Linked DNA regions of Oryza sativa Japonica Group. The main gene of each other region encodes a partner of the protein of the gene in region 2 in a complex. Links are inferred from orthologs where the notes say so. Each region holds a gene or a part of one and is shown on either strand. Other genes may lie near its edges. The genes, in order: thioredoxin-like fold domain-containing protein MRL7 homolog, chloroplastic; protein PLASTID TRANSCRIPTIONALLY ACTIVE 14; protein PLASTID TRANSCRIPTIONALLY ACTIVE 12, chloroplastic-like.

Region 1 (6,928 bases), on a different chromosome or scaffold from region 2:
CGCTACCGGCGGCACCACCGCCATCCGCCTCCGCGTGTTCTTCGGCGGGCCGTACCTGCTCCGCCTCGCGGCGGAAGCCGGGGACGCCGCGGCCGTGCGCCTCATCCTGCGCCGGCAGCCGCACCTCCTGCCGCTCCTGGAGCCCGAGGCGGCGGTGCCCGACGGCGCCGAGCAGTGGGCGCCACTGCACGCGGTGGCCGCGAGGGGGGACACCGGGGAGGTGAGGCGCCTGGGGCCGGACTCGATGGGAGCGCGCGACCGTGAGGGGAGGACCGCCCTCCACGTTGCCGCCGCGGCCGGGGAGGCGGAGGCGGCGGCGGCGCTGGTGGACATGGGCGCCGACGCCGCGGCGACCGACGCGCGCGGGAGGACTCCACTGGACGTCGCGCGCGAGAAGGGCTATGTAAGTTTACTCCTACTAGAATCTACCTGTCTGTCCTTCTTACTGTCGTGTACCTAAGCTCAGGGAATTCGGATGCTGCTTTTTAATTGCAACTCGACAAAGATTCCTCCTGGTAACTAACCGTGCAACCATGTGTGAATGTGAACCATAATCTGTGTGGTCCTAAATGCACTAGCAGGTCGTAAAAACGTTTGTGTCAAATTAGGAAAACATTGATTTAGTTGTAGACTTGTAAAGCATCACTGGTCGTACAAAAGTTACAGAACCGACGGGGAGGATCATGGACCAGCTGGAGGATGTACGTAGGTAGCTTGGCTTATGTGACCTGTCGATGCGCTCGTGAATCATGATAGGAGTAGGACGACGCTACAGTAGTGCAATTCCATTATTGTCCACCAGAAATGCATAAATGGCCAGCATGGGACTTTCTGTCTGCGAAATGACATGGTTGAACAGTACTTCTGTTACTTTTCAAGAGCAGCATTATCAGTATTGTTTTGCAAGAAGTGTACTCTAAGCAGCGCGTTTTTATTACAAATTAAGTTATACTGGTGTAGTTACGATGTTGTTCGGTGGGTGTAGCAAGAAGTGGTGGACGTCCTGGAACGGTGGGAACTGGTCATGACGGCGGCGAGGCGAGGCGACCTCCAGAGCCTCGAGTCCCTCCTCAGCAAGCGCGCCGGCGTCCGGGGACGTGACCAGTACGGCCTGACGGCGCTCCACCTTGCTGCCATCAAAGGGCACTGCGACGTGATCGCGCTGCTCGCCGGGTCAGGCTGCATGGACATCGAGTGCGAGGACGTGGAAGGGCACCGCCCGCTGCACCTCGCCGTCGAAGGCGGCAGCGCCGAGGCCGTCGAGCTGCTGCTCGACATGGGCGCCGAAGTGCACGCCGCCACCAGGCGGGGCGCGACGCCGCTCCAGATGGCCGTGACGATGGGGTACGAGGCCATCGCGCTGCTGCTGCGAGGCCGTGGCGCCGACGAGGCGGCCGCGCCGGCGTTGTGCATCGCGTCCTCGTCTTCCTCCTCGATATCGTGTGCGTAGATTCGTTGTGTCCACTGCTCAATCCAGAGTTGTTGTTTATACTTTGTAATTTGTACCAGGAGTCTAGGTGACAGTATTGTACTGTATAGTTTTATAGTTTACAGAGGTGATTGTTCTGTTTTTGTCAGTAACTCTTGTTAAGCAAAGTGAATGTTTGCATCGGATTCCTTTCTTTATAGTTCGATATGGGGAACAATTAATAATTGTTGATTTCATAGGCTGACATGACGCGTGTTCCATTTCGTACTAGTACCTTTGATCAGAAATTGCATTTTGCATTCCTTTTGGAGCACTCAAAACCAGTGGCAGATTGTTCATGATCTCTCTTATGCGGACAGTCTACTATTAAAGCTCTTGTTATGACAAACTTAAATATATCATTTTCATATACCCAAAACCTATAGTTCAAGTTATTTTTATAGATGGAAACACCCAAAACATATACTTTAATTTATTTTATAGCCAAACTTAACTTATGCTGACTGGACGCATTCTCAAGCGACTTGTTTTTGAGACCGGGGGAAGCATTGCCATCCCATTCTCATGGGAATTTGGAGCACAACTATACCCCCTTTGCCACCCAAGATAAAAAAAGGGGGGCTAACCAAAGAAAAGAGTATCTGAAAGCAGTTCCACAAGATGAGATTGTTCTACCAAAATGACCCTATAATGCATGTATGGTATGTCTTGTATCGTTCTCCATCCAACAAATTCAATTACGTCACTGAAAAATAATCAGAGGAGTTATAAGATGACAAATGGGTTGACCCCCCTGCCTTCATTTTGCATCTATGGCGTGAAATGACATTACACTACGCCTCAAAAGTTTACAATCGACTTTACAACCTCCTTAACAGGATGGCCACGCAGATAATTAAGCTAGCATTCCCTCCTGTTCTATCTAGAAATTTGATGAACTGTATGTTTTGTTAGAGTACAGTACAAAGGTGAAAGTGTACAGCTAAAAACATGAGCATACCAAAATATATGACATAGTTGATACCTGACCCCCTCCCAACTTGAGATGAGCCAGTAAGAGGTTTCTCTCCTTCCTCTTCAAGTGATACATTTATTACAGATACAAGCATCATAACCACACTGGTCTATTTAGACTATTTTCCTGGCAAATAAAGTTAGCAAAATTAATAATATTCTCCCCTGAACCAGGTACTAATACAGAGAAAGGACATTAAAGAGAACAATGACCAGTATAGAATACAGTTTTCTAACGGGGAACAGGTTATCATTGGATGAAAAGCTTACCACAGTGTACACTCACCAAGAGTTGAGAATTAAGGCACTGTCTCAATACATAAGCGCTGAAATGCAGGAGATTAGCACGGAGGTGCAATAGCTTCAGGATTAACACAAGATGGTCTCTTTGCATTGTAGTAGAAATGGGCAATCATTTGAACTAGTTCGTCGGCAGTTCTTAGTTCTGTAAACAAGCAAATGAGGCAATCAGGTGTTGTCAGAGTGGCAATTTTGACCATTGAAAAAGGTGGGCCTAACATGAAAGTGCATATTAGCAATCAAGGAATTTAATAATTCAAAGTTCCATTCAATTTGTTAACTATGTGAACAGGATTTACCATAAAAATGGAACTAACTACTCACCTTTTTCCCTGTATAATATCTTGTTTCCCCTGAGGAATAATAATTGTGGGCATTCTTTTACTTGAAGTGCAAATGCCAGGTCTCTCTCAATATTCATATCAACCTTCACTGTCTGGAACTCAATTAAATTTAGCATATGACCAACCACCTCAATAACCTTACCGTAATACATCAAGTATTAACTATAAATATGATTCACACTGACCCGAGGAGGTAGCCGATCTTTACTATTCCAGTAAACTTTAGCCGCCTTTTCCAATTCTTGAAGAAACTTCCAATTGTCAGCTGCCCTATAAACAAAGGCAAAACATTACGCGTACATATCATCCTGTCATGGAAGTAGAACACCTAATTTTCTGAGGCAACTCAAAACGATAGTACATTTTTACATTTTTATGCATTACTTCAGGGGTAGTTCTGAACTTTTGATTCAATGGATTCAAAATTATCAGATATGACAATATAAAGTGAGAAGCTTGAAGTTTATGAAGTTTATCACTTTGGTCCTAACATATAGGTACTATGGGTTCACATGAATAGAGTCTGGGTAGAATAGTGATTTATACCTGTTGTAGCGCTCGAAGACAAGAACGATGAGGGGGCTAGGGTGGAAGGCGAAGCTCTCCCACTCCAAGCAGTTGATCTCTTTGACCCATCCCTCCTCGACCTCCCTCTCCCAATCGATCTCCACACCATCCACCGTCACATTCTTGATGGAATGCTTGTCAAAGTACTCCGACGCCCGAATCCCCCACCCGATGTCGGCGTCCAGAGGCCAGGAGGGATCCTCCTCCTCAACCACAGCCTTCAGCTCCCCCTCTTCCTCACCAGTCCCCTCTTTTCCCTCCTCGTCGGAGAGCTCCTCCTTTCGCTTCAAGATGTCGCCCTTGCCTTCGAGGACTTCGGGGTCGCGCTCCCGGATGGAAGCGAAGACCTGCTCGAGGCGGCCACGCACGAAGTCCTCCACCGCCGCCGCCTCGCTCCGGCGCCCGCGGCGCGGCTTGCGGGGCTTGGTTGTGGGGAAATCGGGGGTGTCGTCGCCTAGGTTCTCGTGGCTGGTACGGGGCTCGGGCTTGGGAGGCCGTGGTGGTGGCGGCGGCGGGGCGGAGGAGGCGAGGAGGCGGCTGGGGTGGTGGCCATGGCGGCGGCCGTGGATGGGGTTTAAGCCGGTGGTGGGAGGCGAGGGTTTTAGGGGGAGGAGAGTGGGAAGACGAAGCATCACGGCGACGAAGTTCACCGGCCTTCGCGCGGCGCTCGTCTTTCACCGTTCTTTCCTGCCCTATCCGAATTGGTGCATCACTGCATCTACCGAGCTACGGGCTACTAGTCGGCCCACTACATTGGTCTTATTACAAATTTGGGCACAAATCCGTGTGATATGTGCTATCGGGCCGGGATTCCTCTTCTCCTGGTGGTGTTGGTATCCGGCCCAATGCATGTGCTCCCAGTCGGGAACTTGAGACCAAGCCCAACTACCTGACGTCAGCGGTTGACGTAATGACGGTGCTAGCCAGGCGCTGTCGACGTCATTTTCCTCCGTGCGGAGGAGGCGCTGTCGATGAACACGCGCGTGGCGTGTCAGGGCAGCGCACCTGGGCTCGTCCAGGCGCGCGGCGGCGATCGATCGATCCGCGGGCGTCAGGCGCGCGTCGCCCGGCCGGCACTGGGTCCGTCAAACTGGAGTATATACTAGTACTAGCTCTGATCCACCGGGCTCCCGCACCGTGCTGCGCTCTTGTCTTTGCGCTCTTGCTTGTCCCACTTAACGCGATCGGTGCAGGTAGCGCAGCCGCATCCCCTGTCTGTCCCTCCACCGGCGAAGAACGGCCGGTGCGTTAGACGATGGAAGCTTGATTAAAACGGATGGCTAATCGCGATCGATTCGGCGGCGAATTTAAGGCGCTCACCAGTACGTAGAGGACGAATACGGGTGTTTGCGTACTAGTATTCCCCTATTCAAAAAATTAGAATTTCAAAGGCAAAGGAAATTCGTGGAGGATGGAACAGGGAGCATCTGCCGTACCAAACAGCTATAGATGTGATACTACTGAAAATCTGAACATAAGTATTAATACATATTACATCCCGTAGTAGATCCTATAATAAATTCGTTTATTTTGAGATGCAGGGAATAGTATGTAACTATCTATTAGCCATCCTCTGCACTACAGTGAATGTAAAACAATAACAGAAAAAAACTAAGAGATCAACACACTATAGCTACGGTGTTTTCTCAATATTCACTGCATTAAACAAACTGTGGTGGGCACAGCTATAGTGCTTCTCCGCAGTACTGTCGACGATCCATGTCCCTGGAGGATTACGCCTACCGTCAGTACAGCAGCCGACCGACGATCACTTACCGATCACACGTATCACTGTGTCAGCTATTGATGATGGCGCTGGATACAATGGATTATGAAATATATTAATCATCCGAACATATGCTCAATTGCAATTACTTGTATTTTTTGGCAGTTTAATTTTCTGCTCAAACGTGGAGTGTATATGAATTATTAATTAGCATTAATTTGTACTCATTCCATCCAAAAAAAACTCAACCTAGAAAGGGTCAGGGAGTAGAACTCTAGCTTCTTTCCGTAGTTTATGTAGATAGTACTAGAAGGTTAGAATTAGAAAAGATCGAGATGAGAAAGTGACATCTGAACTGTTGAATCTGTATTGTAAGCAGAAAAAGTCTGGAAGTAACTGACAAAGAAGAAAATTGAAAAGGATGGGTTGTTCCCTATGCATTTGGGTACTGCCTTTGTGATTACTTGTGAAATTGCCGACGAACCTTTTTAAAATCAAATCGCCAATTTACTTGTATGAAGGGCACTGTTAATCCTTCTGTAGTACTCCCACCAATTCACTTTTGACGGTGCTTCAGTGCTTGCTAACTTTTACTTTGCATCGTTTTAATATCACTACTCCTATTTCATAAATAAATTAGAAGTATATATATAAAAAAATAAAATCTAACAAATACTATTGACAAATACCTCATTTCAAAAAATCATCGTTTCATCGACGAATGCAACTTCCAAGAAATTCTATTATACGAGCCAACTTATCCCAGAGATATCATAACTTATCCCAAAGATATCATCACTGTCGGGGTTCTATTCATTTCACTCTGTTAACCCATGTAAAAAGACCATGTTCTGCTAGGAGGGCTGTACAATGCATTTTTCAACACGAGAGTTAATTTTATACTTTGCCAAGAGCATGAGATGAACAGCATATCCAAATTTCATAATGATTATATTTTCGTAGATGATTCTATTTAATTAGACTTTTGTAAAGCAATAAGGCACTCTTACTGTATTAAGTCAAAAGCCAGGTTTGAGTAAATTTTCCGGTCTATGAGGATTGGAGTTAGTTAATTCACCTTTAAACTTGCTACTTCCGTACATTTTAAGCACAACCATGAGTTTATGTGTTCAACCTTTGATAATCTGTCTTAATTCTTGAAAAAAAATAAAGAACATAAGTCACGCATAAAATACTATTCATATTTTATCATCTAATAATAATAAAAATACTAATAATAAAAAATTTCAAATAAGATGTACGATTCAAGTTAGACACGGAAACTCATGGTTGCGCTTAAAATAGGACGGGGGAGTAATAAAGTTAAAAAACCATCAACCTATAAACCGTAAAAATCCAAAAAATCATATTAGAAATCCAAGCATAAATAAAAAGAAACCATATATAAACAGAATCTCTCTCTCTCTATATATATATATCACAGGGTGCGCACAGCACACGTATAACTGTACAGTGTACACAACACTGTACAGTACAACCACAACTGGGAGATGTACTGTATGCATTGCATTATGTACGTACTCTCTA
Region 2 (6,797 bases):
CTGCATATCAACAGAAAAAATGTGTTAACAAGCAAGTGGTACAAACAAACATAAACTTCATGGGAGCAATGGCTAAAACAACTTGCTAGTTCACATACTTGATTGCGATTTCACGTGTTCTTCTGATATGTCCATCAGAATCTGCAACACATTACAGACCAATCATTTGCATGTATTTCTCGGAAGGACTATGAAAAAGGCTAAATTAATACTTGGGATCCTGATGGGCCTTACCTAGAATCTCCTGGTCTTGTTGAATAGTGGTTGAAAAGGACTCCAGCATCGTATGGCATTCCTCTTGTAATGCCTGAGCAGATTTTCTTTCCAAGCTTGGTATGGCAGGAACATCACCTTCTGACCATGTCGGCAGAGTTCTTGCTGCTGCCACGACTCCTCCATCAACAAAGTTGTTTTCTCCTGAGGTCAATGCAGCTGCAACACATTGGATAGTTCAAATCAAAGGTTCCGAATCAAGGCATGTTGCAGAATGGTTCGCAAGGTCATGTGTTCCTAGTTCCTACCATTGTGGTAGAGCTCATCATGCAAGCCAGCAATGTTGAAGACCGACAGGAAGGAGTCAAGATGAATCTTGGCATCACTCGAGAAGTTTATAAGCTCCCAAGGATTCTGTAGTGTTTGTTGTGTGCACACAACCATATAAGAAGTCACATTTTTTTTAAAAAAAAAAATGACACTGTAGTTGTTTCAATGCATGGTATCGTATTAACATGCCTAGCAATCTAGCATAGCAGCACAACATATTTGATGCTAGAGTTGTTTCCTTTAAGCAGAACCATAATCTCGCAGATATAGTTATACTTATACCCAACACAATATTCCTCAATGCTAAGTCCTGCCAAGTGGGAAAGGACAGATGTGGCTTGCAAGAACAAGCAAGAATTAAAATCAAACACATGATCATACCGTTGGTGATGAGAAACCATATCTTTCCATAAATGAGCTGTTCACTCCACTCATATAATCAATTGTCATCTGTACTGGGTCCATAGAATGAAATGATCAAACTGGTTTGAAATTTTGGATGGCATTTAAGTAAAGTTGGCAACTTTCCATGCAAATAAGGAATTTTTAATTATAATATAACATTAAACTAGTCGCTCTTTGCTCACAAGGAAGCTAATTGTACTCTAAGCTCTAAACAGTACCTCATCTCCTTTTTTGACAGCATGCCCAGCCTTAATCATGACTTCAACCATACGATCTTTGAAACGCCAATGCAGGAAACAATTAGCATCAGGTGAATGATTCAGCATATCTGGAGACAAATAGGCAAGCTATAAGTTATGATGAGACTCAGTATCAGTAATCAGAAGCTAGAATATGCTGATTATCAGAACAGTATAGTTTTGAATTTCATGCCTTTGTGATAATTATTAAGTAATTCAATGTAACTATACTGCCTGACTAGAACGTCTAGAAGGAATAAAGCGTAGTATTGGTGTGAAAAATGACAATAGATATTAGTTAGATCCTTATTCCAACAGAGTTTAACCATACAGAAGTAGTGCTGATATTAGAAAATATAATATCTTGGATCAGTTGGTAACTATGATTTACTGTGCAAGTAACATTAGCGCTATAACATTATAAAAACCTTTATAGCATTCGCCAGCTCAAAATAAATGGAGCAAAAGATCCCTCAGACCGCAGCCTTGACTTAGACTGTTAGACATCTGATTATCATCGCAAGCTGAAGAAACTAAGTGATTTTATTCTTAATTTTAGTAATCGGTGCTTAATACACACTGAAAATAAAAATAAAGAGCATAAAGGGGAACAGATAAGAAAACATGTACCAGCATACGGCACTAGGACATTTGCATCTTGGAGGAAGGCTCCCATTCTCAGTTTCAAATTGACAGAGCGAGACTGAACAATACTCAGTGCCCATAGAAATCTTTCATGGTCAGGGGCAAGACGCTTTAGCTTTAGAGGGATTGTTTTATGCTGGACATTACCCATCAAGCTAGTGTTAGATGTACCCAAGCCAGCGAAGTTGATCAAATAGTACAGAAGTGTACCCAATGTTTTTGCCAAAAATCAATTGCTCTCTTCTGGTTCTTTAACATTTTCGTGGCAAGATCTTGGTCTTCTAGTTCCATTAGATCGTCCTGGCAAGCCAGGCATGTAAATTCATTCAAACTGTATTGTCAGGTTTAAGAAGACTACAATTCATTTTGTTTAGATTTACAATACCTTTGGTGCCAAAAGCAAGCTAGTGCATTCATCAACACTAGGCAAAAAATCACCATATAGCTGCCAAAAGTTGTCTTCTACATCAAATGCATAGAGAAGAAGGCAAGCTAACCTTAGATCCCAATCTGTCTGCAAGAGGGTACAGATTGCGTTAGGATGCAGTCTACATCACTTATGAAGCTTTGACACCGCATGAAGGAAGAAAACAGGTTGCAAGTGTTGAGTAATACCATCCCTTTTATCCAATATAACAGCTTATTTTCATAGTAGATGGAATGGGCAGTCAAAGCGCTATTGAATCTTAATTACACAATGTTCCTCATAAGTGATTCTGTAGAAACTAAAAAACACAAACTCTGGAATGCACATACAGTCTTCACTGGAACATACCATAATTAGAGGGTTAGAGGGCTCCATTTACCTCAGGATCTGTTGATTCAATGATGTCAAATATGGGATGGCCTAGTGGAATAATGTCGGGGAAAAACATCCAAGGGCGTTTTTGAGTTATAGTCAGCATCAGCTCCAATGGAATCTCCATAATCACCTGATAAAGTGAAATGAATTTTTATATATATGCCAAGAAGATTATGCATAAGTGTGTGATTAAACTTAACTAGTTCTTAAAAAGTAGTGAACACACGAGCAAGCTGCCTCATGATTTCTGAAATAGAACAGTTCTATGTGGTATATTAAAGTGAAGCACTAGCAAGCTTTAGTTGCATCCAGAAACTGAATGTGAGCAGTCCTTACACCATATTTGATTATTTGCATAGCATTATAAAAGGCAGCAGAAGATATGTAAGCGTAAAGTACCTAACAAATTCAAAGATTGACTTCATTTCGTACTATTCAGTAGAATTCATATTTGTTCTGATAGTAGGACATACATACGCTAACCAACTAGCAGTAAATGGTAAAGTAACAACCACAGAATGTAGACCATATATATGTACTGGAGTGGAGTGAGTACTGGCTGTGGCTGGCTCTACATTGTACTTGTACATGCTATTTGTAATGCCCCTTTGTAAGTATAGTACTTATGTCCAATTGCAGTGAATTGGAAAGATAATGATGGGATAGTTAAAGAAAGGCTCACTCTAGCTCTGCGGAGTGGGTCGACGTCCCGGGAGGCATAGACGGCCATCCCATCGGGGCCTTCCAAGAACTCAACCCCGTACGCCCGCATCATCCGCGCGTACCCTATCCGGTAGAAGTCGGGGTCGGCCGGCTCCATCTGCACACGACGACATTGTTCATCATGCATGCATGCGCGCGAGCAGAAGAGATGTGAGCAACGGAAGCAACTAGGCGGGAAGAGATTGAGCACCTCGGGCGGGAAGGGGTCGTCCTCCTGGGGCGGTTCGAGGAGCCTGAGCGGGGGGGCATCGTCGTCCTCTTCCTCCTCGCCGACCTCCTCCGCCGCCGGTGGGGGTGCCGCGGGAGGCGGGTCCCGGAGGCGAGGGCGTCCGGCGCGGGGAGGCCGCAAGACGAGGCGGCGGGCGCAGGGAACGGCGCGGCGAGGCGGGAAGGTGGAGGCCGGGAGGGGGAGGGGGAGCGGCAGCAGGAGAGGGGAAGCGGCGGGAGTCGCCATGGGTGGCGATGGGGATAGGAAGCGCACCTCCTGCGATGGAAGAATACGTTATCTACTGCTGCGATGGACGAGACGAGATTTTAGCCCATTCAAATGAATGGCCCATGGGCCTTAAAATCTATAACCTCGCGAGGAATAAGTGTATATTAGCTCCCTTATCGTTCGCTCCTAATTGAATCACCTCCCTCAACCACACAACCTGGTATAGCGCATCTCCCATCTTCAAAAACTGATACAAATTAACTCCTTTATGGTTTGGAAAACGGTTTTCTCTAACGTGGTAGGTTGACCGTACTTGACTCGTTGAGTTAGCAGGTAGAACTCACATGTCAGCAACTTCCTCCTCATCTTGTTTTCTTCCTCACCTTCCCTCTATCTCTCTTTCCTCTCTTGTGGGCCTCGTTGGGTGGCGACAACAGAGTGAGTGACAGCGGTGGAGAGTCGAACCCGAGGAGAGCGGCAGTGGTGACGACTGACCAGCCGAAGCCCTACTCTCCTCTAGTGACCACAGCAAAGGCCAGCCAAGGGCCTCATATATTATCTGTCTTGACTGTAAGGAATACATCGATGAGATTCTCGGAGATAGTTTTTTCTTCTATATTTTAATATAAAGGTTCTAATATATCCAGCAGAGCTCCTGCCGTTCAATGTTTTTAAAAATTAATATCAGGGTTGACCCATTCATTCGTAAAAAGATTCAGAGTTTACAAGATCCTTTATACAACCAGGGATACATTGTTAGTAAACCAAGTGAACAGCAAGCTAGCTTGTTCTAGCTAACATATGAACCACCTCATCAGCTCTGCGGCTTATGGCTTACGCTTACATGAACAAAAGAAACTTAAGTAAAACATCTTGCCAATGATTTCATCTCAGCAGCAATAAAGCCCGTTAAGGACCTATCTCTGGCAACAACATTCAACTTTGAGGCAGGGGAGGGAATCAATTAATCTTGTTTCATACCAATATTATCTATCTATCTATTTTTATCTTTTTAGAAATCTATCTATCTATCTATGTGCGCGCGCGTTTTGTGCTCAGAAGGTGATGGCAGATCTGTTCTAATCGAGAAAACCATGTGGAACATATATTAAGATCATGTGGAGAAGAAAAAAGAAAGAGAGAACAATAAAGGATTCTATTATCTAGTCATATACTCATATATGAAGAAATTAAGATTTTTAATATTATTATAACATTATTCCAAAAAAAATATTCTTATATCAGTGTCCATACGATGGTAAATATAGATATTATATGGCACCTAAAAACAATAGATGCACTACATATATATAATTTGTTGTTTTTGTGTATTTAGACCGGGAATACGTTTACTGAAAGAGAGAGATACATGAAAACATATGCACATTGTATTGTTGTCTGAAAAAATTGTCACTGCTACACTATCCGTTATAAGACAATTAGAAATATTTTACTCTTTTTTAATATATTTGCTCCAGCTATATACATTATATTTTCTTGATTATATCTCCTATTCCATGATTTTTAAAACATACGTCTTCTATGATGATATGATTAATTTGTATGGGATTCATAGTGAATATTCATGTGGAAAGAATCATTCCTGATCGGGCCTAACTGTGGTGGAAATGATTATACGACTTTCATGATGTGCGCTAGCCATCATGAGCACGCCCATGTTCTATTTTCATTGAGCTACTATTCATTTTCCATTCAGTGTACATGTGCATAGAAATGTCGTTAAATTTCAGACAATTTCCTCCAAAAACCATGTAGAAACTCATCAATCATGATTTGTTTTCTTAAAAGAAAAACTCAGCGTTGCTGAAAACGGTTTAACTTAGGAGTGTTATACTTATACCTATAAAAACACAAAGAATAATACATACCTGAAAAAAATGAAACATTACTTGGGCAGCGTTCGTTTGGAGGACATTGAGGGAGAAAGCATCTCATTTTCCACACGCACGTTTCCCAAACTACTAAACGGTGTGTGTTTTTTGTAAAAAATTTCTATAGAAAAGTTGCTTTAAAAAATCATATTAATCTATTTTTAAAATTTAAAATAATTAATACTCAATTAATCATGAGCTAATGGCTCACCTCGTTTTGCGTATCTTCTCAATCTACTCAATCCACTTCTTCTCAAACACACCCTTGAGCAAGTTTTGTGGGAGAGTTTGATATGCTTTTTTAAAAAAAAGAAAGATCAGAGACTGATAATCGATCCCACAGTCCACTGACGCGTGGCCCCCACCCCGAAAGCGCCGGCCCACAGCTCAGCCCCGGGCCCAGCACGGCGCGCCTCGTCGAACTCCCCACCGTGCTCTGCTGCCGCCCTGGGACTCCTCTCACCTACTACTACCTGACCTATATGTACCCACCCCACTCACAGTTGGCCCCACTCAACCTGTCCCCACCACGTCAGTGACTCACTACCCGTCGCGCGAGGCCCAGGTGGTCTCGCCTCCCGAACCACGTACGCACACATCCAAAAAAAGGCAAAAGAAAAAAATAAATAAAAAACGAAGAGAAAAAAACACATCTCCCACCGCACCGCGACGCAGCCGCAGCCGCCTGCTTCTCTTCTCTCCTCTCCTCTCACGCACACAGCACAGCACACTCATCTCCTCTTCCTCCCGATCGCTACCACCTCCTCTCCAGCTCACACCCACCCCCCACGCAAATCTAGAACCTTCTGGATCCGCCGCTTCCTCGATCCGATCGCCTCCCCCGCCGCCCGCCCGATCGGATCCCCAAGGTGAGCTCCCTCCCTCCTCCCCATTGCTTCCAGATCGCTCCATGTTTGGCTCCGATTTGAACCCATGCGCGTGCTCGATTGAATCTGAGCTCTGCGCCTGATGCTGTTTAGGGTTTCCGGTTTGCCGCCCCCGCGATTTAGATGGTTTACGATGGCGCCGTGAAGGACCAGGAGAGCTCGGCTAACCCGGCGTCGGCATCGGCTGCTCTGTCGGAGGCATCGGCGGCGGCGTCGGAGGTAACA
Region 3 (6,929 bases), on a different chromosome or scaffold from region 2:
ATAAGAAGAAATTCGCAAGGCTACATTGAGAATCGCAGATTGCATGCATTTCCATCAAGTAAACAGTACAGTATTATACCTCTAGTGACTCAGGCTGCGCAACAACTTTGTCAGCATCCTCCTCATCGTCATCACTATCTTCGTTGTACTATTTGAAAAGTAGAAAACATCACAGTGAAATGCGCGTAAGTTTGTATGGAGAAGCTTTTATATAATCTAGCATTACTTTGCAGTTATGAACCCAAAGAAACAGAATTTACATTTTTTTTATTTCTCCTGTACTGAGAGGTTTTGGTAAAAAATAGAAGCATTTAGGATGGATACTCACAGAATGCTCCCCAATATCAACAGCAGTAGCCATGGGATCTCTGACTTCAGGAAGATACTGTCAAGAAGGTAAGACAGGATAAGTAAAAGAGGTATTTGTGATGCCTATTCTCAACATTCAATTAATACCAAACCAGAGTTACAGTTAAACGTATACCGTAATGTCCTGATTGATGTCTTCCATCTCTTCATTTAAACGGGCATATAGCTCTTCCTTTGTTATCATTATACCATGCTTAAAAGGGGAAAGGCGATATATCATGTTAGAGCTTCATCAGTCCTATTAGCAGCTTAGCGCCAGTTGTCGCATGACTGGCATTGTTAGTACTGTGCTATACTATTGTACTGTTATAAATAACAACAGGTAACATATACTTATGCAGCCATGGCTTTCCAAATCAATAACCATACATCGTCATGAATCCAGTAAATTTTAGGCAGCACATTGTGAAATACTATAAGTTGTGTGGAAGCACTACGACATACCTCCATCAAGTAAGGTACAACTTCAGGTGTAGGCTCATGAAATTCTGGACCCCTGTAGTCCGCTACTTCGTCAGGATCATGAACGTAGTTAATGGTTGGGTAAACAGGATCACCACCCCAAACTGCATATTTTAATATGGAAAGATTATTCCCATGTAAACTGCACCAGGGTATACCTGAAATACTTGTTTGAATATACTAGTTGTAAACATTTCTAATAGACCATTTTAGGTGCATTTATACAGAAACAATGTAGATATCATAAAAATACAAACAGTCACAACAGTGCCACGTGAAACTGGAGAAAACATGTCATGTTGTGTTCAAACCCAGTGACTTCCGTTCCAGGATCATGCCAGTCTATAAGCAGGACAGGAAACAAAGTTTGGTTTGTCATATTTATTTCAAAAACAAACCATAGAAGTTAACAAGTAGTTTGGATGTTCCAAATATATTCTCAGGTAAATGCCAACACTACTTCTGTGCTAAGTTAAGATCATAATATGTGCTCAATTTCCAGGATTTATCATACAATATATTTTAACAGAATAAATACGATTAAAGAAAGAAGCTATTGTAGGATGGACCATGTATAAATTCAGCAAAAGCGGCTTGTAGATGTCAATAATATAAAATGATCAGGATTGAGAAAAGAAGATATACTCTGTTTGATCTGGTCTTCCCGCATCCTCATTGCCAAAGGATCTCGTTGTATGCGAACATCAGTGCCCATCATGATACGGAATTCCCCAGCAGTTTGGTGTTGAAACATTGTTATAAGTTGAGTATTCTCATCTTCGCCAGTCTCCTCAAAGTGTTTCTGTACAGCTTCTCGTGAAGTGTCTTTGTTTTTATACGCTTCAACCCATTCCGAATAGTATGCTATTGGCCCTATTTCTTCTAGTCTCCTTTGTTCTGCTTCTAACCTGTGTTTTCATTGTATATCCAATATAAGAATGGACGGAAGGCAAGATAGAACTATATACCTTAAGAATACTGTGAAAATATCATGTTGAAAGGACGTTGTGTCAATATTTTTTTCTGCTGTCATAACAAGTAACATTGAAGTACAAACCAGCAGGTAGGCAACTAGACATAATAACATCCATCAAATATTTGTTATAAATCAACGAGGGGATACCAAAGGTCAGTTAAAGAGTCTACATAAGCTTAAAGAGTATCATTGCACATATGGTGAAGATATTAAAATTAAAAGCACGGTTTTCACATATGGTGAAGACCCACGAAAAGCAAAATCACTAAATTTTGAGAAAATAATTTCTAGTATTCAGCCAACCTTTCCTCTTTGAATAAATGTCTTCTTGCCTTGGCAAGAGCAGCTTCTGTTCTGGTAGGGTGGTCCCCAAATATTTTGATCTGCCCAGTTTCTGCCATTGCTTTTGCAAAGACCTACAATAATGAAATGAGTGTTACAATTTAAATTATAACTGACAAGACACAGAGCTGTAAGTTAGAAGAAACACTAATCTGAATAATGAAAAAGGTTAAAAACATCAACCAACAATATAGATTAAATTGATAAGCCATGTATAGGAAATGCCACATCTGCAAGCTGTGCACGTGTATCTACCAGGTGGTGGATTTAGTATGGGGGAATAGGCGTTCAACTGAGCCACACAGCTTTTAGGATTCGTGGAATAGAGATGACCCCAGAAGATCCTTATAAATGTTACCAGTCTAGGCTAATGAAGAACCTAATTCTGTCTGAACCCAAGATATATGGTTAAGTATTTCATCTCATTTTGAACTCCCAGAATAAAAATACCAGCTCATCACTGTGTACACTACTCTGCTTGCATCTTTTATACACTAGAAGATGCATACGATGATCATGACGACATTGTGTGGCTTCTGGAAATATTAGCACTACAAACACTATACTTTGGTTGGATATTTTGGCACACACAAAACTACATGTACTCCCTCCGTCCCAAAAATATAAGAACCTAGTACCGAATGGGATGTGTCCAACCAAAGTATATAGTATCCTGCGTCCCATCCAATACTAGGTTCTTATATTTTGGGACAGAGGGAGTACTACCTTAGTGTTTGTGCCTTGTGCTATCAAAATAGGGTATACGAAGACTAGCATACAAACAATTGAAACCCTCAAAATTGTGGTGTGGACATGCAGCAGGAGGAGTGGAGAATAAGAACCATACTGTGTACATCATATTCGCTACTAGGTTATGTTAACAAGTGACAATAGGCAGAAAAACTTAAGTAAAAAAGACTTATAAGTCATTTATTAAGTTCAAACCAATCAAGAACTAACCGTGTCAACATCTGGACGCCTCCTCTGCCATCTTGACCACATTTCATTTTCCTCAGACTTCCTCCTCCAGTTCCACCACAGCTCTTCACTAGATTTTGGTTCCCCTACAGACATTGCCTTCTGCGGGTCAACGAACGGGTGTGGCCGTCCCATCATCTTGTCCATCTCATATTCACTCAAATTTTCTTCCTTGGGCATCTCATAAACGACGTACTCATCCAATGAATCCTTTGTCTCCTCCAGTGTCTCATCTGATGAGGCCTCAATGGCCACAACCGACTCTCCCTCATCTCCACTGGTCTCCGTGCCTCTCCCTGCCGTCGCTGATGCTACCTGCTCCTTGTACCCTTTCCTTCTACTCCCGGGCTTCTTACCAAACGACGGTGTCCCAGCTGATTCCCCGACCGGTGCAGGTGCACGGGCAGCGCGTACGCGGGATGCAGTGCCCTCCGGCCAGTACTCCTGCCCAGGTATGCTTGCCCGAGCACCCGACGCCGGCTCGAGCTGGCCCGACGTGGAGTCGAAGTAACTGGAGTACGGTGGCGCCTCGATCTTAGATGGATCAAAATGGAGCGAGTCGTCCTTGACGCTCCTGATCCTGCCTCTTCGCGTTCTGCTCGACACACCAGAAAACAGCACCCTTCTCCGGTGAGGCAATCCAGCAAACACCTTCTGCGCACGCACCAAACACAAATCAAAATAAAAAAATACTCAGCACCCATGACAACTGGGAGCACGGGAACGCGGTAAAATTTCAGCAATTTTCTCGGGCATTCCGATGGGGGAGGAGTTACCAAGGACTGGAGGGGGCGAGGAACAGTCTGGGCGGTGGCCTGCGGCGCCATGCCTGCGGAGTATTGGAGGGAGGTGAGTTCGCTTGAGCCGTGCGAATTGGCGGTTGGAAATGAGGGGCGAGAGGTCACCTGGGAGGAGCCAAGTGCGGGAGCACGACGCCATGGCTCCGCCTCCGATGCTGCGGTTGGAACCCGAGGTGGACGAGAGAGAGCTAGGGGAGGGAAGCGGATGGGTTGAGCTCCATGGACGCGCACCGAAGTTCAGGTAGCCGGTTTGGTCTTCGGAAGGGGACAGGATAACAAGGAGAGGTTTTCGAAGAGGAACACGGGGTTTATCCGGTGGACTTCAAATTCGAATTTTTTTTATTTATAATTTTTTTTATTAAAAGTTTTACAAAAATAATTTTCCATTTTGAAAATTGACGGAAATAGTCGCCTACAGCCCTCTGGGAGGGCGATTTTTAAAAATCGCCCTCCCAGAGGGCGGCGAAAATGACGTGGCAGACGGCCGTTCGCTCTCGGGCGACGGCCGTCAACGAAATTTGCAGGCGGCCCCCTTGCCGCCCTCCGCGAGGGCGATTTTCTACTGTGCGGGGGGCCGCCTGCAAATGGGCGGCGGGGGGGGCATGGAATTTTTTCAGGCGGCCCCCTTGCCGCCCTCCGCGAGGGCGATTTTCTACTGTGCGGGGGGCCGCCTGCAAATGGGCGGCGAGGGGGGGCATGGAATTTTGCAGGCGGCCCCCTTGCCGCCCTCCGCTAGGGCGATTTTGCACTGTGCGGGGGGGCCGCCTGCAAATGGGCGGCGAGGGGGCATGGAATTTTGCAGGCGGCCCCCTTGCCGCCCTGGGGGAGGGCGATTTTTGCCTCCCCCCTATAAAGCCCAGCCCCTCCCCTGTGAAATTTCATTATATTCACTAAAAATCCAAAAAAACGAAAGAGAGAGAGAGGGGAGGGCAGCAGAAGGGAAGCGGCGAAGCCCTGCTGGTTCGCTCACTTCATCACAGGTATGCTCCCATACATCTTTTGCATTTGTACTAATATATTACGTTTGAGTACATATGTTGCGTTTTAGTTTTAGTTCCATATATTTTAGCAGATCTGTAGCACACAGCACATATGTGTAGATCCAGAGCATAGAATATAATAGTATGAATTGAGACATAGACAGTAGTGTTAATTGTAAGATGTAGTTTAGTTTGATCTGGAGAATGTAACCTACTTTTAGAAATTTAGAGAACAATATTGTAGAGAATGTAACTTAGGGCGTAGTACAGAAATGCGAGGTTAACGCAGTTATTGTTTTCATCAGGCACAATGTCAAGTAAGGTCACATTTCAGATAGTTCACGGTGAAGGAAATATTAGATTTGGTCCAGATGGTGTTGATCTGTCAGATTTTGTAATGACATCTAAGGGCATCGATAGGCCTGCGGAGAGAACATTTGAGTCAATTTATAGTTGGTTGTTGAGAGGATTTAGAATAGACCAAGAAGTCTACACAATGTCAGTATCTGTTGTAGTGAGTCGTGCAATAGAAGGTTATTTTTGGGAACTAATGCCGATGGACAGCACTGCTGCTTGGAGACGGTATGTGGAAATGGCTTTTGAACGGTCATGGCCCCTCGTTATATTTGTGTCGGTACAAGAGAAAGATACAAATGTTTCAATGCAAACCGAAGATGTGGAGGGTCCTAGCAATGCAGGGGATGTTGTTGGACCATCGATGCAAAATGAGGAAAATCAACCAAGGGAGGAGCAGGCCATGGGCATGGCGGATGAGGGGGAGAGAGTCGGTATAATTGTTGATGAAATGGAGAGGGAAGATTCGGATAATGAGCAAGCGGAGGACGACGCATCATCCGATGAGGAAGGTGATGTAATGGCCACTGATTGGGCAAATGAGGACTTCTCTGGTCTTGTTATATCAGAGGGTGATCATGTACCCTGGGAGTATAAGGAGAACGAGGTAATTGAGGGTGCAAGGTATGCTCATAAGGATGAGATGAAGGAGGCGGTGAAGCATTGGGCAGTTTCATTGCAGAGAGAGTTTAGGGTGGTCAAGTCAACAAATTATGTGTATGAAGTGAGGTGCATGAAGGAAGAATGTCCGTGACGTGTCCATGCATATAAGGGTAAATGGAATGATTATTGGAAAGTTAGCATTGTGACCGAGCACAAGTGCTACTTACAAGGGGTGGAGAAGTATCACCGAAACATCACTTCAGCTTTTGTGGCAAGTGAGATGTACAGCAGTGTTGTTGGTAACATTGGCTTTGAACCAAAATCAATTATTAGGCACATCGAGAACAAATTCAAGTACACCATAAGCTATGCAAAGGCCTGGAGAGCCAAACAAAAGATCATTGAGATGAGGTATGGCACATTTGAAGCTTCTTATGATAATTTGCCTCGTTTGTTAGCCACCATTGCCCAGAGGAATAATAATACTTACTATGACCTACATACATTTACATCGGTTGAAGATCGAACAAAGAGTGTGCTGCAAAGAGCCTTTTTCTCATTGGGTGCTTGCATCAATGCTTTTGTGCATTGTCGACCTGTTCTATGCATAGATGGAACTTTTATGACAGGTAAATACCGAGGTCAGATATTGACAGCAATTGGGTGTGATGGGAACAACCAGGTTCTACCTATGGCTTTCGCATTTGTAGAGAGTGAGAACACTGAAAGCTGGTACTGGTTCCTAGAGAGAGTGCACATTGCAGTGGTGCGTATGAGGCCCAACGTTTGCCTTATACATGATCGTCAGTAGTGTTCTACCTCTTCAGTCCTTATGTGACCGTTTCTTTTGGCTTACAAACTTGTAAAGCAGTACTACTTTTGCTATTACTACTGCAGTACTACTTGTGTTTGTCTCGTCTACGTAGTTCTTTTCATTCGTATGGTGCTTGAACAACTTATGCTCACAACAACACACTTTCGGCGCTTCACGGTAGTGCCATATCCAGTAGCGCGCACAGTCCACAACAGCACACATGAAAAGCGGCAGCTCGAGTTATCACTATC

What was found.
Region 1: protein PLASTID TRANSCRIPTIONALLY ACTIVE 14 (region 2) and thioredoxin-like fold domain-containing protein MRL7 homolog, chloroplastic share a complex: the UniProt entries of both Arabidopsis thaliana proteins name them as parts of the transcriptionally active chromosome (TAC) complex. The link is inferred for Oryza sativa Japonica Group from reciprocal best matches to the Arabidopsis thaliana genes PTAC14 and MRL7.
Region 3: protein PLASTID TRANSCRIPTIONALLY ACTIVE 14 (region 2) and protein PLASTID TRANSCRIPTIONALLY ACTIVE 12, chloroplastic-like share a complex: the UniProt entries of both Arabidopsis thaliana proteins name them as parts of the transcriptionally active chromosome (TAC) complex. The link is inferred for Oryza sativa Japonica Group from reciprocal best matches to the Arabidopsis thaliana genes PTAC14 and PTAC12.

What each region holds. Positions count from the first base shown.
Region 1 is NC_089035.1:36,099,673-36,106,600, reverse strand, and holds thioredoxin-like fold domain-containing protein MRL7 homolog, chloroplastic, read right to left. Parts: upstream 4,369-6,928; 5' UTR 4,287-4,368; coding exon 3,634-4,286; intron 3,358-3,633; coding exon 3,273-3,357; intron 3,180-3,272; coding exon 3,068-3,179; intron 2,889-3,067; coding exon 2,785-2,888; 3' UTR 2,714-2,784; intron 2,571-2,713; 3' UTR 2,200-2,570; downstream 1-2,199. Other genes in the region: protein VAPYRIN, read left to right, coding at 1-403, 986-1,450. UniProt on the Arabidopsis thaliana protein: Plays an essential role in early steps of chloroplast development. Involved in the regulation of plastid gene expression. May positively regulate plastid-encoded RNA polymerase (PEP) activity through binding to FSD3 and CITRX/TRXZ.
Region 2 is NC_089039.1:29,434,872-29,441,668, reverse strand, and holds the start of protein PLASTID TRANSCRIPTIONALLY ACTIVE 14, read right to left. Parts: upstream 3,866-6,797; 5' UTR 3,812-3,865; coding exon 3,548-3,811; intron 3,455-3,547; coding exon 3,317-3,454; intron 2,765-3,316; coding exon 2,639-2,764; intron 2,347-2,638; coding exon 2,218-2,346; intron 2,133-2,217; coding exon 2,043-2,132; intron 1,969-2,042; coding exon 1,818-1,968; intron 1,277-1,817; coding exon 1,167-1,276; intron 994-1,166; coding exon 925-993; intron 628-924; coding exon 522-627; intron 433-521; coding exon 235-432; intron 142-234; coding exon 99-141; intron 1-98. Other genes in the region: probable protein phosphatase 2C 52, read left to right, coding at 6,696-6,797. UniProt on the Arabidopsis thaliana protein: Essential for chloroplast development, especially for thylakoid formation. Involved in plastid gene expression, probably by maintaining plastid-encoded RNA polymerase (PEP) activity.
Region 3 is NC_089035.1:33,073,166-33,080,094, reverse strand, and holds the start of protein PLASTID TRANSCRIPTIONALLY ACTIVE 12, chloroplastic-like, read right to left. Parts: upstream 4,205-6,929; 5' UTR 4,067-4,204; coding exon 4,033-4,066; intron 3,957-4,032; coding exon 3,904-3,956; intron 3,782-3,903; coding exon 3,110-3,781; intron 2,224-3,109; coding exon 2,111-2,223; intron 1,740-2,110; coding exon 1,477-1,739; intron 936-1,476; coding exon 814-935; intron 563-813; coding exon 485-562; intron 386-484; coding exon 329-385; intron 149-328; coding exon 80-148; intron 1-79. UniProt on the Arabidopsis thaliana protein: Involved in plastid gene expression. Acidic transcriptional coactivator necessary for the transactivation of many PIFs target genes (class B genes), particularly during the regulation of hypocotyl growth.